5 linked regions of the Callithrix jacchus genome follow. The protein of the gene in region 1 purifies or fractionates together with the protein of each later gene. This does not show direct contact. Links are inferred from orthologs where the notes say so. Each region holds a gene or a part of one and is shown in the gene's direction. Other genes may lie near its edges.

Region 1 (4,967 bases):
AGAACCAAAATTTGCCTAATGCCTACCACCCACTGATCTCAGGTTGGCCTCTTAGGATCTCACGGAATATATCTGTGCCTATTTGTATATGGGAGTTTTAAAAATATCTGAAGACAGCCTTCCTGTCCTCCTTGTCTCTTCTTCCCTGCCCCAATCTCTTCTGCTGCTTCAGCTGTTGGTCAAAGACTGGAGGATTTCCACCAACAACTGGCTGTATACCCAGTCAGTCTCTAACTTTGTCAATTTCTTTCTCGCACCATAGTGCCCAGAACTGGCCAAAATACTCCATTTGGGATCTGGCCAGCTCAGAGTACAATATCTTAAACTCAACACTATTTTATTTATTTATTTATTTTTGAGACGGAGTTTCGCTTTTGTTGCCCAGGCTGGAGTGCAATGGCACAGTCTCAACTCACTGCAACCTCTGCCTCCCAGGCTCAAGTGATCCTCCTGCCTCACCCTCCTAGATAGCTGGGATTACAGGCACCTGCCACTACGCCGGCTAATTTTTGTATTTTTAGTAGATGGGATTTCACCATGTTGGCTAGCCTGCTCTCAAACTCCCAACCTCAGGTGATCCGCCCACCTCGGCCTCCCAAAGTGCTGAGATTACAAGCATCAGCCAGTGCGCCCAGCCAAACTGGACACTATTGTAATGTGGTGTTGTTATTGTTGTTATTGTTTTAAACAAACCATTTCACACATTTAGCTTTGTTGAGCATGTGGTCATCTAAAACTAGAATTTTTTACATGACCTTGTCTCCAGCTAGGTCTTCTTCATTTGTCCTCAATTAGCTGACATTTTAACTTAAGAGATACATTTAACATTGAATTCTCGTAAACATAATTTTGTTGGTTTTGCCCATTTTTAATAGATGGTCAATTTATACCTTAGTTATAAGGTGGTGGTGGCAGGGCTAATAAGAGGATGATCAACCCCAAACATGAATGGACCCATTTTACAGTTTTGCTTGGCGTTCCTACTCGTATTTTATCAGTGCAAACGACCGCTAATTAGTGACGCTGCTCTGCAGTCTTAAGATTCATGGCCACCATATGCCTCAATGTCTCTGGGTCAGCTTCAGTTTCAAATATTCTCTCTATTGCCCCAGGTCCACATGCCAAACTATGAGTCCGGTTTGGGGTTCAGAACATATAACATCTAGAGTTCTGCTTCTCGGTGCTCAGAGTCTAGTATCATTGGAGAATAGGACGATTTTTGCCTGAGGGATAAAGGGAAGCGGAGAGGAACTGGAGAGGTGAGAACCACAACTCCAAAGTCAAAGACAATGCTAAATAATGTATCTTGGTTCAGTTTTCCAAAAAGTGAAGTTCTGCTTATCACAAGGATTGGTCCACCAAGATACCTGGAGTCCTCATTTACGTAGCAGCCTACTTCGTGGGCGCTGCCTGTTGTGACGATGTTATTTTGCACTCCCTTCTGGAACATGTGATAATACCTCTACCTTGGAGAAATACAAAGGAGGCAGGTTCTCCGCAGTCGAGAATTAAATGAATGCACATAAAATGAACAGGCAGAAGAAGCCTCCATGCCAGCTCCGTCTGCCTTCAGATCCTTCTAAGGGATGTGGGTTCTTGGGAGGGGAAATACACAACACAGCAGACATTTGACGACCCTTGTGAATCTAACTACCAGAGGGCTGAAAATACGGCAGTAAGAAGAAAGGAGCTCATGGGACCCCGAAGGGAAACGAGAGCGAGGAATTTGTCTTTCATCCACAGACGTTTCAAAGCATGACACTTGCGGTAACAAAATTGCATTGCGAAAGTACTAGTGTGTTATTATCTCCTCTTCAAGACGGGGACACGTAGACAGGGAATGGCCTCTTCCAATAACAACTTCCAAGTAGCACCGCTGAACCTCCTCCGAGCGATGGGGGAAAAGCTAGCCTGCTTCTGCGACCTTGCATGAAAATGGAGAGAATTCTTGGTTTCAAAATCTTCTCCTGGCTCGAACCGAAAGTTAAAAACGGACTTTTCGAATTGCACATTGAGCGTGACCTCACCTACCACTAATGAATAATGGATATCGAGGAGGAGCCGTGGAATGGAGGATCACGGCGGCGCCCCGAGCACCGGGGAGGAATCGCGGGGTGCGTAGGGGCCGGAGCGACCGGGTTCGGCCCGGACAGAAGGCTCGCGCGGTGGGGGAAGGGTGTCTGTGCTCCGGGGAAAGGGCGGACTCCCCGGGGCACTGTTTTGCGGCGAGGCTTGTTTTGCTCGCAGCTGGGCGCTCCCTGGGGAGCGACTGCGCGCAAGGGCGGGCCGGCAGGCGCGGGGTGAGCAGGAGGCTCCGGGGACCCTACGGACTCGTGTGCGTGTGTGTGGAAGGTGGGGCAGTGCGGGGCGTGTGCACTGCACGAGCGGGACGCGCGCCGGTGCGGGCGCCGGGCGCCGTCGCAGAGAATGCCAACGCCGCTAGGCGAAATAACAGCGCAAAGCCCGGGCGCCGCAGGGCGCTGGCCGGGAGAACCCAGCGGAGGCGCAGATCCCGGTCGGCGCCCCTCCCGCCAGTACCCTTAACGCGGAGCCACAGCGCCCAGGGACCAGAGGGCAGGCGGAGGCGGCGAAGGACACCACGCGGGTCTCCACGCACCCCACAGAGTAGAGCGAGCTCCCAGGACTGGCGCGCCTCCGGGACAGGCGGAGAACGCGCCGCTCGCACCCCGGCGCGCTCCCTGCGCGGTGTAGGCAACCACAGCGCGGGCGGGTGGGTATTAAGGTGGCAAGGAGGAGGCGTGGCCTGGCCGAAGAGCCAATGGACCGGGGAGGGGCGCGCGGGGGAGGAGCTCAAGCGCCGAGCGCCAATTGGCCAATTCGCCCTCCGGTATGCAGATGCAGTGGGAGTCACGTGCCAGGGGCCGGGACGACTTCCTGTTGGAGGCCAACGTGGGGCGGGGAAGGGGGCGCGAGCGCCCCGTCTGGCTGTAGCGGGGGGAGGGGGGTTCTTGTCAGTTAGAGCAACAAGATGGCCGCGGTGGCAGCTCCGCACCTCAGAGCGACGGCCCCGGGACCAGCAGCCGCCGCCGTCGGCCCCGCCGCCGCGCAGCCTTGAGCGCCGCCCGGGCCGCCCCCTGACAGGGCTGTCCCCGCGCCCGCCGCGCTCCCGCCGCCCTCACCGCAGCCGCCGCCGCGGGCCCGCCCGAGCCGGAGGCGGAGGGAGCGGAGCGGCCCCTCGCCCAGCCATCCGCAGCTGCCACCGCCGCCGCCTAGGACCCGGGCCGCGCCGGAGCCTCGTCCCGCTGGGCGTGAGGAGGACGCGTCGCGGCGTCGCTGGGGCCGGACCTGGACCTGCCGAGACGCGCCGCCGCCCACCCGCCCGCGCCGCCGCCGCCGCCCGCGCCGGGACCTGAGCCCGCGGCGCCGGCGCTGAGCGAGCCCCCGCCGCCCGCGCACCCCCGAGGCCCTTGGGCGGTTGTTCGTGTTGCTGTCTCCGCCGCCGCCAGGCCCGCGTCGCCGGAGCCCCGCGGAGCCGCCGCCGCCACTGCCCGGGACGGAGCCCAGGTGAGCGTGGCCGCCCGTTGGCTCCTCGCCGCCGCCGCAACTTTGCCCGGAGGTTCGCGGGCCCTTTGTTCGGCCGAGGGGAGCCGGGGCGGGCGCTGGCCCCGAGCGACCCGCGTGCGGCGCCGGGCCCCCGGCCGGCCGGGTTTGGAGGGGAGCGGCGGGAAGCGGCCGGGGCCGGGGCGCGTGTGCGCGAGTGTGAGACTGGGCTGTGCAGACGGCCGGCGTGCAGCACAATCAGACGGGAGCGGAATGGAGGGCTGAGGATGGATGTGCCCCCTCCTCTTTAAAACTCAAGCGGCGGTGAAATTCGGTCCTCTCCCGGCAGCCACCCGCAGGTTTTGCATTGACGATGGCAGGCACGAGCCCGCCGCGTTTCGGCGCAGGAGCTCAGTGTCGTTGTTTGGGGGACGAGAGAAACCGGGGCGTGCTGCGGGTTGGCGGAGAAGGACCCTTGGGCGCTCTGTGGGTCTGAAATCAGGTGGATTTTCTAACGGTGCCGCGGACTGCGGAGTCATGCGTTAGAGGAAAACGAGCCGAGCCACTTGTGCCCTGTTATCTGATAACGCAACCCGAGCGCCTGGTCGCCACCTCTGCTTTAAGCGATGCCTTCTTCTCACCTTTACCTTGCGGACGAGATTTAACTAGTTGGCTGGTAGCTATGAAAATATGTAGATGTGAATGTGTGTGTGGGGGGGGGGGCTTCCTGCGTGTTAACCTGGCGAAGAAATCACTGGCGTGCGTGTTACACAGAGCTTTGGAGATCGTAGCAAAAATGAAGGCATGCTGCTTGGATGTGGTGCCGGGAGGTAGGGGCGGAGGAGCCGCTAGATCGTGGCTGCGCCTAGTGCCTTCGAAGGCATTTGACGGTGTTGGTGATTCTGCACGTAATTAGTGGAGTTGTCTCAAACCTTTGCCTCCGCCAAATGAAACCTCCATTTGAGTGGTCCGCTCGGTTATTTCTAGGCGTGAACTGAGGATTCTAAACTCAAAATGGTGCTCTGTAGATGTCCAACTTAAGCGTTTTTGAGGAGTTGCAAATTGGAGCCTCCTGACTGGGTTAATCCATTGTGTAGCCGAGGTTCGGTTTTTCTGGAGTATCTGGTGTTCACGTTGATGTACTTCGGCCAGTACAAGGTAGCCCATTGATGGTCGCTGCGAGAGCCTTGTGCATCCCTGCGTGTAATTTGACCCTGTGCAAGGCTTATTTTATGCCAGTTATTGCCTGCAGTTAGAATTGAATAACTATGCGAATGAGTTGAGACCCTGGAAACCTGGCTTGAGTGATTTCAGAGGACAGTGGTAGCTGGTTTGAAATGTGTACGGATGCTGACAATTACATTCATAGATTTCAGATTTCCTTCAGTACTGTGTGAAAGAATAAATGACAAAACTTAGCCCCAGGCCAGATGAACTTGGTTGGTAGAGGGCACCTTGAGGAATGT
Region 2 (4,198 bases), on another chromosome or scaffold:
TCAGCCACTGGGGAGGCTGAGGTGGAAGGATCACTTGAACCCAGGAACTGGAGGTTGCAGTGAGCTGAGATCTTGCCATTGTACATCTTTAATAAATGTATTATTATATTTAATAATAATAGTAAAAACATACGTTACATCTTCAATAAATAGACTGTTACATCTTTAATAAATGTATTATTATTATTAAAGATGTTAAGAGTCAAACTGTAGCCAAAACTTGCCCCTTCCAAATGATGTTTGGCTTGATAGTACCTTCAGTTTAACTAGTAATAAAGTATTTGAGATAGAATTACTCCTTCCTTCCACACCCTCCACCCTAATCTTTGATTGATAATTTTTAAGATAGTGTAGGGAAGAAACAGAATTGTGAACAATCTTGATGCTTCTAGGAAAACTAAATTTAGAAGCATAAAGTCATGAGAAAATATGGTTAGAAATCTCAGGCGTGATCCAGATTCGTCAGAGTTACTATGCTGTGATTTTCAAGAAGAATTTTGGCTTAGATACACCTGAGCTTGGGAGGGAAAGGCCTAATTAGCCAGCCAGCCATTATCAAACCTTTGTAAAAAAAAAAAATGATAAAAGACTTAATTCCTGCCTTAATGGAGACCAGGGTCATAGAAAAAAGACAAATGAAAATTAATATAATTCGGCGTATAACGGTCATCTTAAATCAGCAAAAACTTCAGGAGGAATAGCCACCACTAAGAAAGAATAAGTGCTGAGGTGGTACACGCCTGTAATCCCAGCACTTTGGGAGACTGAGGCGGGCAAATCAGAAGGTCAGGAGTTTGAGACCAGCCTGGCCAAATGGTGAAACCCCATCTCTACTAAAAATACAAGAAATTAGCTGGGCATAGTGGCAACCGCCTATAGTCCCAGCTACTTGGAAAGCTGAGGCAGAAGAATCACTTGAACCCGGGAGGCAGAGGTTGCAGTGAGCCAAGATCACATCATTGCACTCAAGCCTGGGCGACAGAGCGAGACTCTGTCTCAAAAAAAAAAAAAAAAAAGCACTGAAAGCCCTTGTCTCCTTAGTGATCAGAACTCTGGGATGGGCAAGAAGCAGAGCAAAGGAGGCTCATGTCTGTAATGCCAGTGCTTTGGAAGGCTGAGGCAGGGGGATCACCTGAGGTCAGGAGTTCGAGACCAGCCTGGCCAACATGGGGAAGCGCTGTCTCTACAAAAATTAGCCAGGCGTGGTGATACATACCTGTAATCCCATCTACTCGGGAGGCTGAGGCAGGAGAATTGTTTGAACCCAGGAGTCAGAGGTTACAGTGAGCCAAGATCATGCGACTGCACTCCAGCCTGGGCAACAGAGCAAGACTTCGTCTCAAATAAATAAATAAATAAATATTCAAGATGTCCTCCTGAATGGATGTTTAGTCTCCAGAGCTCTGCATGCTTTCATACTCTAAATGGGTGCTACTATTTAGAGGGTCCTCCACCATGAGGATTCTTAGGATAAGTGAAAGGTAATCTGCCAATCAAAATGTGATTTTTGGAACAGCAAGATTAGTGCTTGCAAATAAGACATTCTGTCAAAAAATTCTTCCGTTTATAGAATGACAGTTTTTTTTTTTAATTTGGAAAAGTATTTGTTTATATCTGTAAGTTCTAATGAAAGGTACATTTGTATCCTAAAAAGTAAGAAAGATCTCCAGTCTCTCTAATAACTATTAAAATGAAGGCCATAGCATGCTGTCAAATTGATTTTCAGCTAGTAGTGTAGTGGATGAACACAATCAGTTGATACAGACTTTATTCTGGTTTTTTTTTTTTTTTTTTTTTTTTTGAGAAGTGGTATCGCTCTGTCGCCCAGGCTGGAGTGCAGTGGTGTGATCTTGGCTCATTGCACCCTCTGCCTCCCAGATTCAAGGGATTCTCCTGCCTCAGCCTCCCGAGTAGCTGGGATTACATACATGTGTCACCACACCCAGCTAATTTTTGTATTTTAGTAGAGACGGACTTTCACCATGATGGCCAGGCTGGTACAGACTATATTCTTATACATATACTTATATTAATTTTTTCAGGTAGACACTTAGCAATTCTTTTTACAAAGTGCTCTCTGGCAAGTTTCAATTTTTTAGATTGTGAGAGCAATGAAAAATCTAGAGACTATATAGTTTTTTGTGACTGTGACTTAATTAATTAATTTATGGTTTTGAACACGTCAGTACAACAGTATAATTAAGATCCTACATTAGGCATCTGAAAACAATTATAAGTAATGTTTATATTTTCTCTACAGTCTGCACCCTCTCTCTTTCTTAAAAGCAATTTTGAGTACTTAAGAGGTAATTATCGAAAAGCGGTGAAGCTATTGAATAGTTCAAACATCGCTGAGCATCCAGGATTCATGAAAACAGGTAAAAGAATATTGTGAAATTTTAAGTTTTTTATCTTCCTCTTCTACCCCTTCTTACTTGTGCACCTCCCAACACCCAGTCTTTCAAGTAATTTATGCTAATTTTTCTTTTTCTTTTTTTTTTTGGCTCTATATGCTCTGATTCTTTTCGGGTAGGGAACGGAGTATCACTCTGTCTCCCAGGCTGGAGCGCAGTGGCGCAATCTTGGCTTACGGCAACGTCTGCCTCCTGGGTTCAGGCGATTCTTCGGCTCAGCCTCCTGAGTAGTGGGATTACAGGCGTGCAGCACCACACCCAACTAATTTTGTATTTGTAGTAGAGACGCGGTTTCTCCATTGTTGGTCAAGCTGATCTAGGCCTTCTTACCTCAGGTTATCTGCCCACCCTGGCCTCCAGAAGGACTGAGATTATAGGTGTGAGCCATTGCACCCTGCCATATGCTAATTTTTCAATGAAAATACTTTAATATTTCTGCTGCAAAAAAATTCCGGAAATTCTTGTCTCTACTTTAGAAGAAACCTCATTACTTCTTGCTTTTACTTTGCTTTCTTTCCTTTTTTTAGATTCTTTTCCAGATTGGATCGCTTTTTTCTTTTCCTTTCCTTTCTCTTTCTCTTCTTTTTCTTTTTGAAACAGGATCTTGCTTTGTCACCCAGGCTGGATGCAGTGCTACAATCACAGCTCACTCAGCTCACTACCTCCTGGGCTCAAGCGATTCAATCGCCTCAGCTTCCCAGGTAGCTGGGACTGTAAGAATGTACCACCATGCCTGGCTTATTTATTGTAGAAACAAGGTCTCACTATGTTGCCAGGCTGGTCTCAAACTTTTGGGCTCAAGTGATCTGATGACCTCTGTCTCCCAAAGTGATGGGATTACAAGCGTGCCACTGTGCCTGACCCAGATATCTTTTCTTTAACCCAACTTGCTCTTTTTTTTTTTTTTCTCGAGACAGTCTTGCTCTGTTGCCCAAGGTGGAGTGCAGTGGCACGATCCTGGCTCACTACAACTTGCACCTCCCGGGTTCAAGTGATTATCCACCTCAGCCTCCTAAGTAGCTGGGACTACAGGCATGTACCACCACACTCAGCTGATTTTTCTGTTTTTTTGGTACAGTCTGGGTTTCATCATGTTGGCCAGGCCAGTCTCAAACTCCTCACCTCAAGTCATCTGCCCACCTCAGTGTCTTAAAGTGCTGGGATTACAGGTATGAGCCACTGCACCTGGCTCTTTCATTTGTTTTTATAAGGTCCTTGGACTTTTGCTTTGTGACCTTTTAAGTAAATAATATAATGTTCTTAACTTTTTTCTGCCATAAAGGCAGTTAATAATACGATTTTTTTCAGTAACTTGCCCAATGAATAGGACTTCTTTAGATCATTAACTATATCAAAAAATCTTTCTATAAAGCTATGAAGATAAGTGTTATTACATATTCTTACCTCTATTTAGAAAGTCTTACAAATCCCTTAATATTAATGGTAACATGAAAGTAAAAATTGTGAATGTCATTTAGGTTTATATCATTACTATTTTATGGAGCAGGAGAAGGAAAATCATTTATTCAAGAAATGAGGATAAACTATTGAAAATGTATGTTTTGTCTCAAGTTTAAAATGCAAACTACATGGTTTTTGGTTTGTTTTGGATTCTATTTAGATACACACACGAGTATACCTGCAAACACACTCAGACCTTCCCCCATTTACCCTTTCAGTTCACTGGAGTGATGGAGGATGGAGAAGGGCACTTTGTTCCTTATAATTCTATTGAGGGTATTCTTTCTTTTCTAAATACCCATTTCTAATTCTGCTCAATTTTA
Region 3 (4,198 bases), on another chromosome or scaffold:
GGTGCAGTCTTGGCTCACTGCAACCTCTATCTCCCAGGTTCAAGCGATTCTCCTGTCTCAGCTTCCTGAGTAGCTGGGATTAGAGGTGCCTACCACCGGCTAATTTTTTTGTGGTTTTAGTAGAGACAGGGATTCACCACATTGCCCAGTCTGGTCTTGAACGTCTTACCTCAGGTATCTGCCCGCCTCAGCCTCCCAAAGTGTTGGGATTACAGGCATGAGCCACTGCGCCCGGCCTCTGTGATATTTCTTTAATTAATTAATTTTTTATTATTTAAAAACTATATGTATAGTATAAAAAAATTCAGGTATTACAAAAAGAATAGCAGTGAAAAATGTCTCCTTACTACCCTGGTCTCTAGTCCCCCAGTACCATTAATTGTTGCCATTCTTTTTTTTTTTTTTTTTTTTTTTCCTGAGACAGAGTCTCCCTCTGTTGCCCAGGCTGGAGTGCAGTGTTTCCATTTTAGATCACTTCACCCTCCGCCTCCTGAGTAGCTGGGATGACAGGCAAGCAATTCTCCTGCCTTAGCCTCCTGAGTAGCTGGGACTATAGGTGCCTGCCACCATGCCCAGCTAATTTTTTTTGGTATTTTTAGTAGAGACAGGGTTTCACCACGTTGTTGGCCAGGCTAGTCTCAAACTCCTGACCTCAAGTGATCTGCCTACCTAGGCCTCCCAAAGTGCTAGGATTATAGGTGTAAGCCATTCCTGACCAATTGTTACCATTCTTTTTTTTTTTTGAGATGGAGTTTCACTCTGTCACCCAGACCAGAGTGCAGTGGTGCGATCTCGCTCACTACATCCTCTGCCTCCTGGGTTCAAGCGATTCTCCTGCCTTAGCCTGCTGAGTAGCTAGGATTATAGGCACTCGCCACCAGACCAAGCTAACTTTAGTATTTTTTAGTAGAGACAGGGTTTCACTATGTTGCCCAGGCTTGTCTTGATCTTCTGACCTCAAGCCATCCCCCCACCTCCATCTCCCAAAGTGCTGGGATTACAGGCATGAGCTACTGTGCCCAGCCAATGGTTACCATTCTTGAATATGCTTCTAGATACTTTTCTACACATATGCAGGCATATGTACATATGTAACATTTTTAAACACACAGAACATAGGGTTCTTTATACATTGTTCCATACTTTGCATTTTTCCACTGAATCAATATATTTTTGAAGATGTTGCATACCAGCACATATGGATCTGCCTCATTCTTTTGCATAGGTTGAGTGGCTGTAATATAACTTATGTAATAAATCTATTGAGGAACATTTTAGTCTAAATTCTGCTACAAAAATGAAACTGTTGAATATTATATAGAGATACATTTTTGCACTCAAATATGAGTGTATTTATAGGATAAATTGTTAGAAGTGAGACTGCTGGCCTGATACATTTCAGAGTTTTCAGATATTGCAACATTTTTTTTAAAGGTAAGTTGTACCCACTTATGCTCCCATCAATAAGGCATCAGAATGTCTGATTCCTATACCTACACCAGTGTAATAGTTCAGATTTTTTTGATCTTTGGCATTCTGATCTTGGTCTAATTTTAAATTGTATTTTTTCTAATAAGGGAACTTGAATATATTTTTATATGTTTAAAAGTAATATATGGAAGGAGCATTTTGAGTGTAAGAGGAAAGGAGAAAAATTGATGCCTGCACATATAAATATGTTTGTGTAGGTATCTGAGAACTTGAGGTTGGCCTTGTGTACTATCCACTGCTTTTTTCAGATATTAGAGCTGCTTCCTGATAGGAGACAGGAATGGGTTCTGGAGTTAGAGGATAGTGGAGAAAGTTCTTCATAGTCTATATGGTCTAGGAGGCATAGAAGTAATCAGGAACATGAAAAAGATTGCTAGGAGGCAGCACTGAAGCCTAATTGGGATTGGCACCACATGATCACAATTGCTTCTAATACACTGTTTTGAGTGTTTTAATCCAGTAGTGTATAAGAGCTTTGATTTAGAAACTGTGGAGGTCAGTTGGTTAGATAAACTGGAATTTTGAAGGAATAAATGTACACCCTGGGGTCTAAGTGTCAGAGAACAGGAAGTAAGAGATGTTAAGAGATGAGATTTTTCTTCCAGTTTGTTTCTATTTCCAGTTCAGATCTCTTCTATCTTTTTTGCTTATCAGATCTGGGATTGGAGATTGGAGCAGCCTAGATTCTGTTCCTCATTTTATTGTTTTAACTTATTTTATTTTATTTTTTTTACGGAGTCTCACTCTGTCACCTAGGCTGGAGTGCAGTGGTGTGATTTCGATTCGCTGCAACCTCCGCCTCCCAGGTTCTCTGAAGCGATTCTTCTGCTTCAGCCTCCTGAGAATCTGGGACCACAGGCATGTGCCACCATGCCCAGGTAATTTTTGTATTTTTAGTAGAGACGGGGTTTCACCATATTGGTCAGCTGGTCTTGAACTCCTAACCTTGTGAACTGCCCGCCTCAGGGTCCCAAAGTGCTGAGATTACAGGTGTGAGCCACCGCAGCCGGCCTGTTTTAATTTTTTGAGACAAGATCTGGCTCTGTCACCCAGGATGGAGTTCAGTGGCATGATCTTAGCTCACTAACCTCTGCCTCTCAGGCTCCAGTGATTCTCCCACCTCAGCCTCCTGAGTAGCTGGGACTGCTGCACACTACCATGCCTGACTAATTTTTGTATTTTTTGTAGTGACAGAATTTCTCCGTGTTCCCCAGGCTGGTCTCAAACTCAGGAGCTCAAGCGAACTGCACACCTTGGCCTTCCAAAGGCTGGAGTGCAGTAGTGTGATTATAGCTCACTGAAATCCCAAACTCCCAGCCTCAGGTAATCATCCTGCCTTAGTCTCCCAAGCAACTGGGACTATAGGCACATGCTATCATACCCAACTAATTTAAAAAAATGTTTTTCTTTTTTAATACGTTAGGGTCTCACTTTGTTGCCTAGGCTAGCCTTAAGCTCCTAGGCTTAAGTGATCCTCCTGCTTCAGCTTCCCAAAATACTGGGATTACAGGGTGAGCCACCATACCTAGTCCTATTCCTGATTCTTCGTAGACCCTGGAGTCAAACCTTTCTCCCTCCAGCCTCCCTCTCTTCTCAGAAGGCACTCACACCAGTCTTTCAGGTCCATTAGAACCTTAGTGATCTGAGGACCAGCAGCGTCACTTGGGAGTATGTTAGAAATGTAGAATTTCAGGCTTTACTCTAGACCTGCTGAATCAGAAGCTACATTTTATTTTAATAAAATCTCCAGGTGATTCATAGGAATGTTAAAGTTTGAGAAGCACCGTCATAGAGTAGATGTTAGGAGTAAATATAATAGATGGGACATTGCCTGGACTTTGAATTACTTCCAAAAGCTTGAAGTGGTGGTAGTCTCTCAGCTTCCACAGGCCACTCCTATCCCCCACAGGGAAGTGGTGGAATACATGGTCCAGCATTTCAAGCCTCAGATTTTTGGTGATCGCAAGCCTGTGTATGACGGAAAGAAGAACATTTACACTGTCACAGCACTGCCCATTGGCAACGAACGGGTAAGGCTGGGAGTCAGGCTAGGCCTGTGTCAGGGGTCTGGGGTAGAACCAATCTCATGTAAGCCTCTTTGGAGTCTGGTGGTCCAGAGATCCTTTTCATCTTTTGTGCTGAGAAAGTATGTTTTAGGGTGAGGGGTGGGTAGGTGCTGATGTTTATTTAGTCTGTCATGTGCCTGTCTGTGTCCTAAACCGATTGAGATTAGACTTAAAATAGACCTAAAGGACTTCCTGCTAGGCTGAGAGGTAGTTGAGAGGAACAGAAGCACTGAACCAAGGTGGCTAGAACCTAAGGGCCTGGACTTACTCTGGAGTCTGCATTATAAGCCCCTATCAACTTGAAGAGTATATTCTCAGCAAATCCGTGGAGTCGGGTTATTCTGGCAGAGCAATGGCAATCCTTCACCCCTTTCTCTCACCCTCCTGAAGGTCGACTTTGAGGTGACAATCCCTGGGGAAGGGAAGGATCGAATCTTTAAGGTCTCCATCAAATGGCTAGCCATTGTGAGCTGGCGAATGCTGCATGAAGCCCTGGTCAGTGGCCAGATCCCTGTTCCCTTGGAGTCTGTGCAAGCCCTGGATGTGGCCATGAGGCACCTGGCATCCATGAGGTATTGGGTGTAGTTAGTATCTGGGCTACTAGTGTTGGCAGAACTGCTGTCAGGGGAGGAGGGGAAGCA
Region 4 (4,198 bases), on another chromosome or scaffold:
ACAAAAACATTACAATACATCAGGTGTCAACTAGTACTCTTAAGAAAAATACTGGCGGGGAACGGTGGCTCACACCTGTGATCCCAACACTTTGTGAGGCTAAGGTGGGTGGATCACCTGAGGTCAGAATTTCGAGACCAGCCTGGCCAACATGATGAAACCCTGGTTGGTCTTGAACTCCTGACCTCCTCTACTGAAAATACAAAAATTAGCCGGATGTGGTGGTGGGTGCCTGTAATCCCAGATGCTTGGGAGGCTGAGGCAGGAGAATCGCTTGAATCCGGGAGGCAGAGGTTGCAGTGAGCCAAGGTCGTGCCATGGCACTCCAGCCTGGCTGACAGAATGAGACCACCATCTCAAAAAAAAAAAATTGTTGAGTAAGGAGGTTGAGGTAATGAAAGGTGGGAAATGTTGCTGTTTAGTTTGGTTTTATAGTGTTTTGTTTTAATCTTTTTTCCTAATGACTCTTTTTGAAACAATGTTGCTGTTTTAGATAGTTGGTCAGAAGTTCCTATATTTGAATAGAGACTTGGATGCGGCATGAGGAAGGGAAACAGAGGCAGAGCCCCTTGCCTCTAACTCATCCTTGGACTATGTCCCTGACCTTCTGTTGTAATCAACTGAGCCATTACCTATTCAGCAGGGTCATTGTGAGGATAAAATGAGATAGAGTTTACAAAAATACTGTATAACACATTAAACAAACGTAAGACAGTATTATCAGTGTCTCTGTCACTAAGATTGACTGGTTCCTAGCCCTTTGCATCAGTTGCTCCTAGTCACAAAAGCCAAGCAGGAAAGGATCAAAGCTGAGCCATGCGTGTTCAGTCCCTGAGGGGACTCAGTGCCTGAGCCCCTCCACTCTGAGTGTCTCTGTTGTTTTTGTCCCATATAGGGCCATGCCACTTCATTTTTCGGCCCAGCCTTGGAGCGCTACTCATCCTTTCAGGTCAATGGCAGTGATGACATTCGGCAGATTCAGAGCCTGGAGAATGGTATCCTTTTTCTCACCAAGAACAACCTCAAGTATATGGCCCGTGGGGGCCTCATTATATTTGATTACCTGTAAGTGGCTTCTCAGCTTTAGACTGGGAATGAAGATACCTCGTAGGATGGGAAGGCTAAGGGATTGGCAGCTTGTAAAGCCTGGGCCCCTGAGCCTTTCCTCTCCCCAACAGGCTGGATGAGAATGAGGATATGCACAGTCTCCTACTGACTGACAGCAGTACTCTACTTGTTGGTGGGCTGCAGAATCACATACTGGAGATTGATCTTAACACTGTCCAGGAGACCCAGAAGGTATAAGCCTAGGACAAGAAAGACCTATGCAGGGTCTGAGGCTGTTGAGGGAGCAGGGTTATGCTTGGGCTGGTAATGTGTCTGAGATGTGGATATGACCTTTCTGTTCCTTTGGTTTTTGGGAAAAATCAATCTTCTCACTGGTTTCTCCTGCTTCCCTCTCCAGTATGCAGTAGAGATGCCGGGAGTCACCATTATGAGACAGACAAATCGCTTCTTCTTCTGCGGCCACACGTCTGGCAAGGTGGCCAACTTCTATTTCTCCTCCCACTGCAGGGCCCTGTTTCAGTAGATACTTGATTGGGATCTGTTTTCCCTTAACTCTTTTTATTTATTATTATTTTTTATTTTTTGAGATGGAATTTCACTCTTGTTGCCCAGGCTGGGGTGCAATGGTGAGATCTCGGCTCACCACAACCTCCACCTCCCTGGTTCAGGCTATTCTGCCTTAAGCTCCCAAGTAGCTGGGATTACAGGCATGCTCCACAACACTTGGCTAATTTTGTATATTTAGGAGAGACGGGATTTCTCCGTGTTGGTCAAGTTGGTCTCAAACTCCTGACCTCAGGTGATTGGCCCACCTAGGCTTCCCAAAGTGCTGGGATTACAGGCGTGAGCCACTGTGCCTGGCCTGCTTTCCCTTAACTCTGGGGTGTAGCTGGATTGGAGATGAGGATGAGTGGAGTGAATTCACTTCCTACTCAGTGATGTTATACTCTGAGATTATTTTGCAGCCTGATGTTTTCTGTGATAATGAAGTGCCCTGGAGGCAAAAAGGGTAAATGAGTTCTCTCTGGAGCCCCTTCTGGCTCTGGGGTTCTCTGTTTACCTTTTCTGTGCTCTAAGAGTCCATATCCTCTGAATGCCCTTTCTGTGGGGAAAAAGAGTCCATATCCTAAAGTTTTAGCTCCTTTGGTAGGGACCCCACTAGGTTAGGTAGGTGGCAGTTATTTTTTTTCTGATAACAGAATTTGCAGATAACTGATTTTTTTTTTTTTTTAAGGTTTCCCTGAGAGACCTTCGTACTTTTAAAGTAGAGCATGAGTTTGATGCCTTCTCGGGGAGTCTGTCAGATTTTGATGTGCACGGCAACCTGCTAGCTGCCTGTGGCTTCTCCAGCCGCCTCACTGGCCTGGCCTGTGACCGTTTCCTCAAGGTGTATGATTTGCGCATGATGCGTGCCATCACACCACTTCAAGTACACGTAGATCCTGCCTTCTTGCGCTTCATTCCTACATATACTTCTCGTCTTGCTATCATCTCTCAGTCAGGTATGAAGGGTAAATGGGATTGGGTAGGAGGAATCGATGAGCAAAGGAGAGCTAGAACCTGCAGTACTCTTCCTGAAACCTCTTTGTTCGGGAAAGAAGTAACCTTTCATCAGAGTCCCAGGGTTTCACTTGAGTTTGGCCAGAGATTAGAACTTTTATTTTCTTGAATGTGAGGACTGTGGAAAAAGGTAAAGTAGGCAAAATTACTGTAGAATTACTGTTTGATGAATAGCAAACCATTGATGGTTTATGGGAAGGCATCAGGTGGCATTCTGTCTCTAGGCATGGATTTGGGGCCCATCTTGCCCTGAAATCAGGGGAAGAGGATAGGAAGGGTGTAAGAGTATGGCTCTCTTTCACTTTCTAGGGCTCAGTGGGTTTCTTCCTCCTTTGCAGGGCAGTGTCAGTTCTGTGAACCCACAGGCCTGGCCAACCCAGCAGATATCTTTCATGTGAATCCTGTGGGGCCTCTGCTAATGACATTTGATGTGTCAGCCAGCAAGCAGGCTCTGGCCTTTGGGGATTCTGAGGGCTGTGTGCATCTCTGGACTGATTCCCCGGAGCCTTCCTTCAACCCCTACTCCCGTGAGACTGAGTTTGCTTTGCCATGTCTCGTGGACTCACTGCCTCCTTTGGACTGGAGCCAGGACCTGCTGCCTCTTTCCCTCATCCCTGTTCCGCTCACCACTGACACACTTCTCTCGGATTGGCCTGCTGCCAACTCTGCTCCAGCTCCCAGGTTGTACCCTACCTCTGGGCCAAAAGGTGGGAAGGAGGGAGAAAGGGCCAAGATATCAGAATTCTTTGCTAGCCTTGTTACTATTCTACTACTTCCCTGATTTTTGTCTACCTTAAGTATTTTCTTTTTTTCTGGACCCTTGGGGATTGGGGAGTGGAACGGTATACACCACAACCCTTTAAGCCCTAGAACTATACTGGATTGTAGGCGAGCACCACCCGTGGATGCAGAGATTCTGCGCACCATGAAGAAGGTGGGCTTCATTGGCTATGCACCCAATCCCCGCACCAGGCTACGCAATCAGGTGTGTTCAGAGTGGAGGGTCAGCCCCTACCCTAGCTCACTGAAGTTTACCCTGTCTTTTTACTGTACTAGGTAAATGCTTTTTGGAACCTATCAAATTGATGGAACTATGTTAGGGTCCTTGCTCTTAGGAAATTAATATTTGGTTGGTGAAGGTAAGACATAGCCATATCAGAAATTATGTTCTGTTGTTAAATACTGAAGGAATAGGGCCGGGCATGGTGGCTCACGCCTGTAATCCCAGCACTTTGGGAGGCCGAGGCAGGTGGATCACGAGGTCAAGAGATCGAGACCATCCTGGTCAACATGGTGAAACCCTGTCTCTACTAAAAATACAAAAAATTAGCTGGGCATGCTAGTGCATGCCTGTAATCCCAGCTACTCAGGAGGCTGAGGCAGGAGAATTGCTTGAAGCCAGGAGGCGGAGGTTGCGGTGAGCCGAGATCGTGCCATTGCACTCCAGCCTGGGTAACAAGAGCGAAACTCTGTCTCAAAAAAAAAAAATACTGAAGGAATGTTATAAGCATTTAGTGCCAGAGCTGTTTGGAGGGAAAATGTTGCTCTGGGTTAGAGTGGCCAAGGAAAA
Region 5 (4,198 bases), on another chromosome or scaffold:
CAGTGTCGGCCACAGCGTTTTACAAGGCACAGCCAGTAATCGAGTTTGTTTGTGAAGTTTTGGATTTTAAAAGTATTGAAGAACAACAAAAACCTCTGACAGATTCCCAAAGGGTAAAGTTTACCAAAGAAATTAAAGGTAATGAACTGTCCCGGCACACCTGGCTAAGGGCTGGGAGGCCCCTTCTTGGTCTGTCTCCTGGACGGCGTTTTGCAGTGCTGGGTCCTATGCACATTTAGGGAGGTGGGGGTAGCAGACTGTCGCCATCAGATGAAGTAGCACAGAGATGAGTTAGACCCATTTCCAGGGCAGGAGTAGGGGTTTCTCAAATAAATGCAACTTCGTGGGGTGAGGACCAGGTGGGGAATCGGTCACGTCCGAGTCATGAGGTCAGGACTAGATACAGCAGTGTGGCTGTGACTGGCGTTTCTAACACTGGAACCGAGGATGCATTTCCTTTGTTTTCATTTAATCCTTCTGCAGCCCCAGCAGGTGTCTGCACCCGCTCTGCCTGCTTTCTGTTCTAAGAAACTCACATCTGGGGGTCTAGGACTTACCGGGTTCCTTCTGTCCATCAGCAGCAGAGTGGGGGCTACCACTGGCTCCACAAGCCCTACCTGCTGAACCTGTCCTTTCCGAAGGCCATTTGCAGGGCCATCCACAGTACCCCGGGAGGATGTCCCAGGGAGGACAGCTAACCCAGTGACCCATGGGGGGCTCCGAACAGCACGAGGGTGGACACCCCATGCTGTAAGCTGAGCCTTTCCCTACCACGTGTACTCTTGTAGGTGAGATGGACCCAACTGGGTGGCCTGGGGGGTGACCTGTGGTTCATCCTTTCTAGGGGAGCCCTGCAGCCCTATGGAGCTCCCACAACTTGGGTCGGCAGCCACCTTCCTATAAAAATGGATTCTCGGGAAGTGGAGCTTGTGCTCAGGCTTGGGACAGCCTAGACCCTGATGCTGTGTTCTGTGTCCCCAGGTCTAAAGGTGGAGATAACGCACTGTGGGCAGATGAAGAGGAAGTACCGTGTCTGCAACGTCACCCGGCGGCCCGCCAGTCACCAAACGTAATGCACTCTTCCTTTCAGACTCTGTTGGCTGGGGTCCCTGCTGTCAATCCATTGGGCACACTTCGGAGCCATGATTCCCTGGAAAGGACCATTTCATTCTGTTTTTCAATCCCCAAAATTGTTCCTCACATAGCTCAGTAGGTTCCAAATTTCACCTAACAAAATAAACTCAGATCGTGAAATTTCACCTGGGTGCCGGGAGGGCAGGCCTGGGCGCTCTCTCCCTCTTCCTTCCTGAGCCTCACAGACGAGAGAAGAGTCTTCTGTGTTCTTTGTCCCATCCTGAGTGCTGAGGGTGGAGGGGCTGTGGCCCTGATGCACGCCCCTGTCCCTGGGCCAGCCTGTGTGTCCTGTCGTTATGGCTAGAGCACAGTTTGGTACCGAGGCTGGTGGAGGGATGAGTGCTGTCGGGTTGTACTGGTGTTCCTTTGTGAAGGGGACCATAGATTTGGCCCCAGTGCTCCACTTAATGTCTCCCAGGCCAGTAGGATTCATCCACTTCATGGATCATTCCATGTAAAGCGCCAGGCTTGTTGCCAGGCACCGGAGGCACCAAGATGCCCGTGGCTCAGGGAGCAGAGGGAGGAGACGGCCTGTAGCCTGGCCTGGCCCCCTCCCCCACCTGGCAGAGGCCACAGGTGGCTGGCCTGGCAGTCTGGACGGAGGGAAGGGGTTGGTATAGTGGAAACTGAGCCATGTGGTCCTTGCCCTGTGGCAGCTGCCCCATCCACTTGTCCCCACACAGAGGCCCACCCTTCCTGTGCCTGTAGGCCTCCCTGCACTTGCCCGTGCCGCACCCCACTGTCACCACTCAGAGGCCCTGGCTGCCAGAATAGGCATGGCCTGCCTTCCTCATCCTGTCCTGGGGGCTGCCGGCCCTCTGGGCACTGGGCGTGCGGCATGGAAATGGCCTCCAGGGTTACCATGCTCTCTGGAAGACGCACAGACCTTTCTTGACGGCTCTGTTCATCCTGACTCCTTGACACACACTGTGGTGTTGTGGGTAATTTATGATGATAGAGTAATGACGCATATAGGTAGTTTTTTATTTCCCAGCCCCAGAGACAAAACGCCCGGGAACATCCCAGATACCCCAGAGCACGTGATGCGTACTCATTCCTGGAAGTGCTCTGAACGTGTGCTCCTCACACCTCACCCTAAAAAGCAAATGATAGATGAAAAGCAGCGCCGGAACGGGGCCCGGGATGACCTCAGCCTGAAAGGCCCTTTGCTCCCCAGATTCCCGCTGCAGCAGGAGAGCGGGCAGACGGTGGAGTGCACGGTGGCCCAGTACTTCAAGGACAGGCACAAGCTGGTTCTGCGCTACCCCCACCTCCCATGTTTACAAGTCGGACAGGAGCAGAAACACACCTACCTTCCCCTGGAGGCAAGTCTTCCTCTCATGTGCACCTCTGTGGGGTTGGGAGGGCAGCCCAGGCTGGGGCATGCAGCTTCGAGAAACCGCCGCGGCCCCAGTCGGGTGCAAGTGGCCCCGCCTCTCCTGCTGTGGGAACTCGGGTGCGTTCATGAGCTCTGCTGCACCTCGGTTTTGCCTTCAGTAAAGTGGGGCGGGCAGCTCTCTGGAGGGTTGGCGTGAGCCTTGACTGAGAGTGTATGTGACGCTCCCGCAGGTCCCACAGGGGCTGCAGGTGCTCTGTCATCCATCACTGCACGGTTGCGTCACTCACTCTCTATCACAGCTGTTCCAAAAATCCTTGCCTCGGGAAAGGCTCAAACACCACTCTCCCCTGGGTGTATAGATTCTTGGCACTTGCCTGTCGCTCAGGCAGGGCTGGGTGGCTCCGGTGCCTTATCCCACAGGTAGACGTCCTTTGCACCTGTAGCCGCTTTCACACCTGTGGCCCTGAAGACTGGAGAGGGCCCAGAAGGGCCGGTGTCAAGACACAGCCCCGCTCGCCTAGTGGGCTGGCCACAGAGGCTGTGGGGTCCGTGGGGTCTGCGTGTTTGCCTGACGCTGGGTTTACTTAGCAGGTATTTCTGTTGTGAAGCAGAAGGCCATGGAGCAGGAGCCAGCCCAGCAGCGACCTGCCCAGCGCTTGACAGCCCAGGGATGAGGCAGAGACCGTCCCGGGCAGAGCCAGGCCACCAGCCCCTGAGCCCCCTGCCGGCTCCCCTGGTCACACCAGTGAGGCGCTGATGCCTGTCTCTGCGTCTTCTTTGCAGGTCTGTAACATAGTGGCAGGACAAAGATGCATTAAAAAGTTAACGGACAATCAGACCTCAACCATGATCAGAGCAACTGCAAGGTCGGCGCCTGATCGGCAAGAGGAGATTAGCAAGTTGGTGAGCGTCAGCCCCACGTGGGGCACCCCACGCCCTGAAGAGTCCAGTTCGGTTGCCCTGGCACAGAAACCCCTGATGCTTAGAATGGACGTGGCTGCTATAGAGAGTGGAGCCCCCCGCCCACTCCGTGCGTTTTCTTTCTTCCCTTTGCCAGATGCGAAGCGCGAGTTTCAACACAGATCCATACGTTCGTGAATTTGGAATCATGGTCAAAGATGAGATGACAGACGTGACTGGGCGGGTGCTGCAGCCGCCCTCCATCCTTTACGGGGGCCGGGTACGTGCAGGGCGTCGGGGTGTGTGGGGCTGCGGGGCCTGTGTCTGCCCGTGACCCCTCTGAGGTTCTGAGCTGTCACCCTCGGTGTAGACCATGTTGCAGTAGGAGAATCCTTTCTACTCCAGGCTGAGCCTGTAAAAAGCACGGGACTTAAAGGAATGACTTTCCTCAGACCTTTTTAAGGTTTTTCTGAATTATCCTTAATATTTTGAAAAGATAATTTGCATTAGCCCATGAAAGTTTAGAGAGCACCATTCTTTGTGTGATAGATGCTCATCAAGGATTGAATTACTTCCCAGAAGCCTGTGCCACTTTTCTATTCTCTAACTTTTGCTTTGGGGGTGTTTGGTAACAGTTTTTTGTCCTTACTAATTTAACTTCTAGGTTTTGTTGGGTTTTTTTTTGTTTTTTTTTGAGGTGGAATTTCGCTCTTATTGCCCAGGCTGCAGTGCAGTAGCACGATCTCGGCTCACCGCAGCCTCTGCCTCCCAGGTTCAAGCAATTCTCCTGCCTCAGCATCCTGAGTAGCTGGGATTACAGGGATT

What was found.
Region 2: the proteins of TNRC6C (region 1) and CNOT10 purify together in Homo sapiens (co-immunoprecipitation; 3 studies listed by BioGRID and IntAct, with this or other methods). This does not show direct contact. The link is inferred for Callithrix jacchus from reciprocal best matches to the Homo sapiens genes TNRC6C and CNOT10.
Region 3: the proteins of TNRC6C (region 1) and AGO1 purify together in Homo sapiens (affinity purification with mass spectrometry; 5 studies listed by BioGRID and IntAct, with this or other methods). This does not show direct contact. The link is inferred for Callithrix jacchus from reciprocal best matches to the Homo sapiens genes TNRC6C and AGO1.
Region 4: the proteins of TNRC6C (region 1) and PAN2 purify together in Homo sapiens (affinity purification with western blotting; 3 studies listed by BioGRID and IntAct, with this or other methods). This does not show direct contact. The link is inferred for Callithrix jacchus from reciprocal best matches to the Homo sapiens genes TNRC6C and PAN2.
Region 5: the proteins of TNRC6C (region 1) and AGO2 purify together in Homo sapiens (co-immunoprecipitation; 6 studies listed by BioGRID and IntAct, with this or other methods). This does not show direct contact. The link is inferred for Callithrix jacchus from reciprocal best matches to the Homo sapiens genes TNRC6C and AGO2.

What each region holds. Positions count from the first base shown.
Region 1 is NC_133506.1:133,746,159-133,751,125, forward strand, and holds the start of TNRC6C (trinucleotide repeat-containing gene 6C protein), read left to right. Parts: upstream 1-1,799; 5' UTR 1,800-2,043; coding exon 2,044-2,114; intron 2,115-2,423; exon of another isoform or gene 2,424-2,731; intron 2,732-3,407; exon of another isoform or gene 3,408-3,525; intron 3,526-3,856; exon of another isoform or gene 3,857-4,177; intron 4,178-4,967. UniProt on the Homo sapiens protein: Plays a role in RNA-mediated gene silencing by micro-RNAs (miRNAs). Required for miRNA-dependent translational repression of complementary mRNAs by argonaute family proteins.
Region 2 is NC_133518.1:70,901,020-70,905,217, forward strand, and holds part of CNOT10 (CCR4-NOT transcription complex subunit 10), read left to right. Parts: intron 1-2,260; coding exon 2,261-2,378; intron 2,379-4,198. UniProt on the Homo sapiens protein: Component of the CCR4-NOT complex which is one of the major cellular mRNA deadenylases and is linked to various cellular processes including bulk mRNA degradation, miRNA-mediated repression, translational repression during translational initiation and general transcription regulation.
Region 3 is NC_133508.1:72,475,136-72,479,333, forward strand, and holds part of AGO1 (protein argonaute-1), read left to right. Parts: intron 1-3,400; coding exon 3,401-3,521; intron 3,522-3,947; coding exon 3,948-4,129; intron 4,130-4,198.
Region 4 is NC_133510.1:63,314,536-63,318,733, forward strand, and holds part of PAN2 (PAN2-PAN3 deadenylation complex catalytic subunit PAN2), read left to right. Parts: intron 1-895; coding exon 896-1,065; intron 1,066-1,178; coding exon 1,179-1,299; intron 1,300-1,465; coding exon 1,466-1,543; intron 1,544-2,302; coding exon 2,303-2,570; intron 2,571-2,966; coding exon 2,967-3,309; intron 3,310-3,516; coding exon 3,517-3,613; intron 3,614-4,198. UniProt on the Homo sapiens protein: Catalytic subunit of the poly(A)-nuclease (PAN) deadenylation complex, one of two cytoplasmic mRNA deadenylases involved in general and miRNA-mediated mRNA turnover.
Region 5 is NC_133517.1:56,982,531-56,986,728, forward strand, and holds part of AGO2 (protein argonaute-2), read left to right. Parts: intron 1-3; coding exon 4-138; intron 139-981; coding exon 982-1,069; intron 1,070-2,311; coding exon 2,312-2,459; intron 2,460-3,256; coding exon 3,257-3,376; intron 3,377-3,530; coding exon 3,531-3,653; intron 3,654-4,198.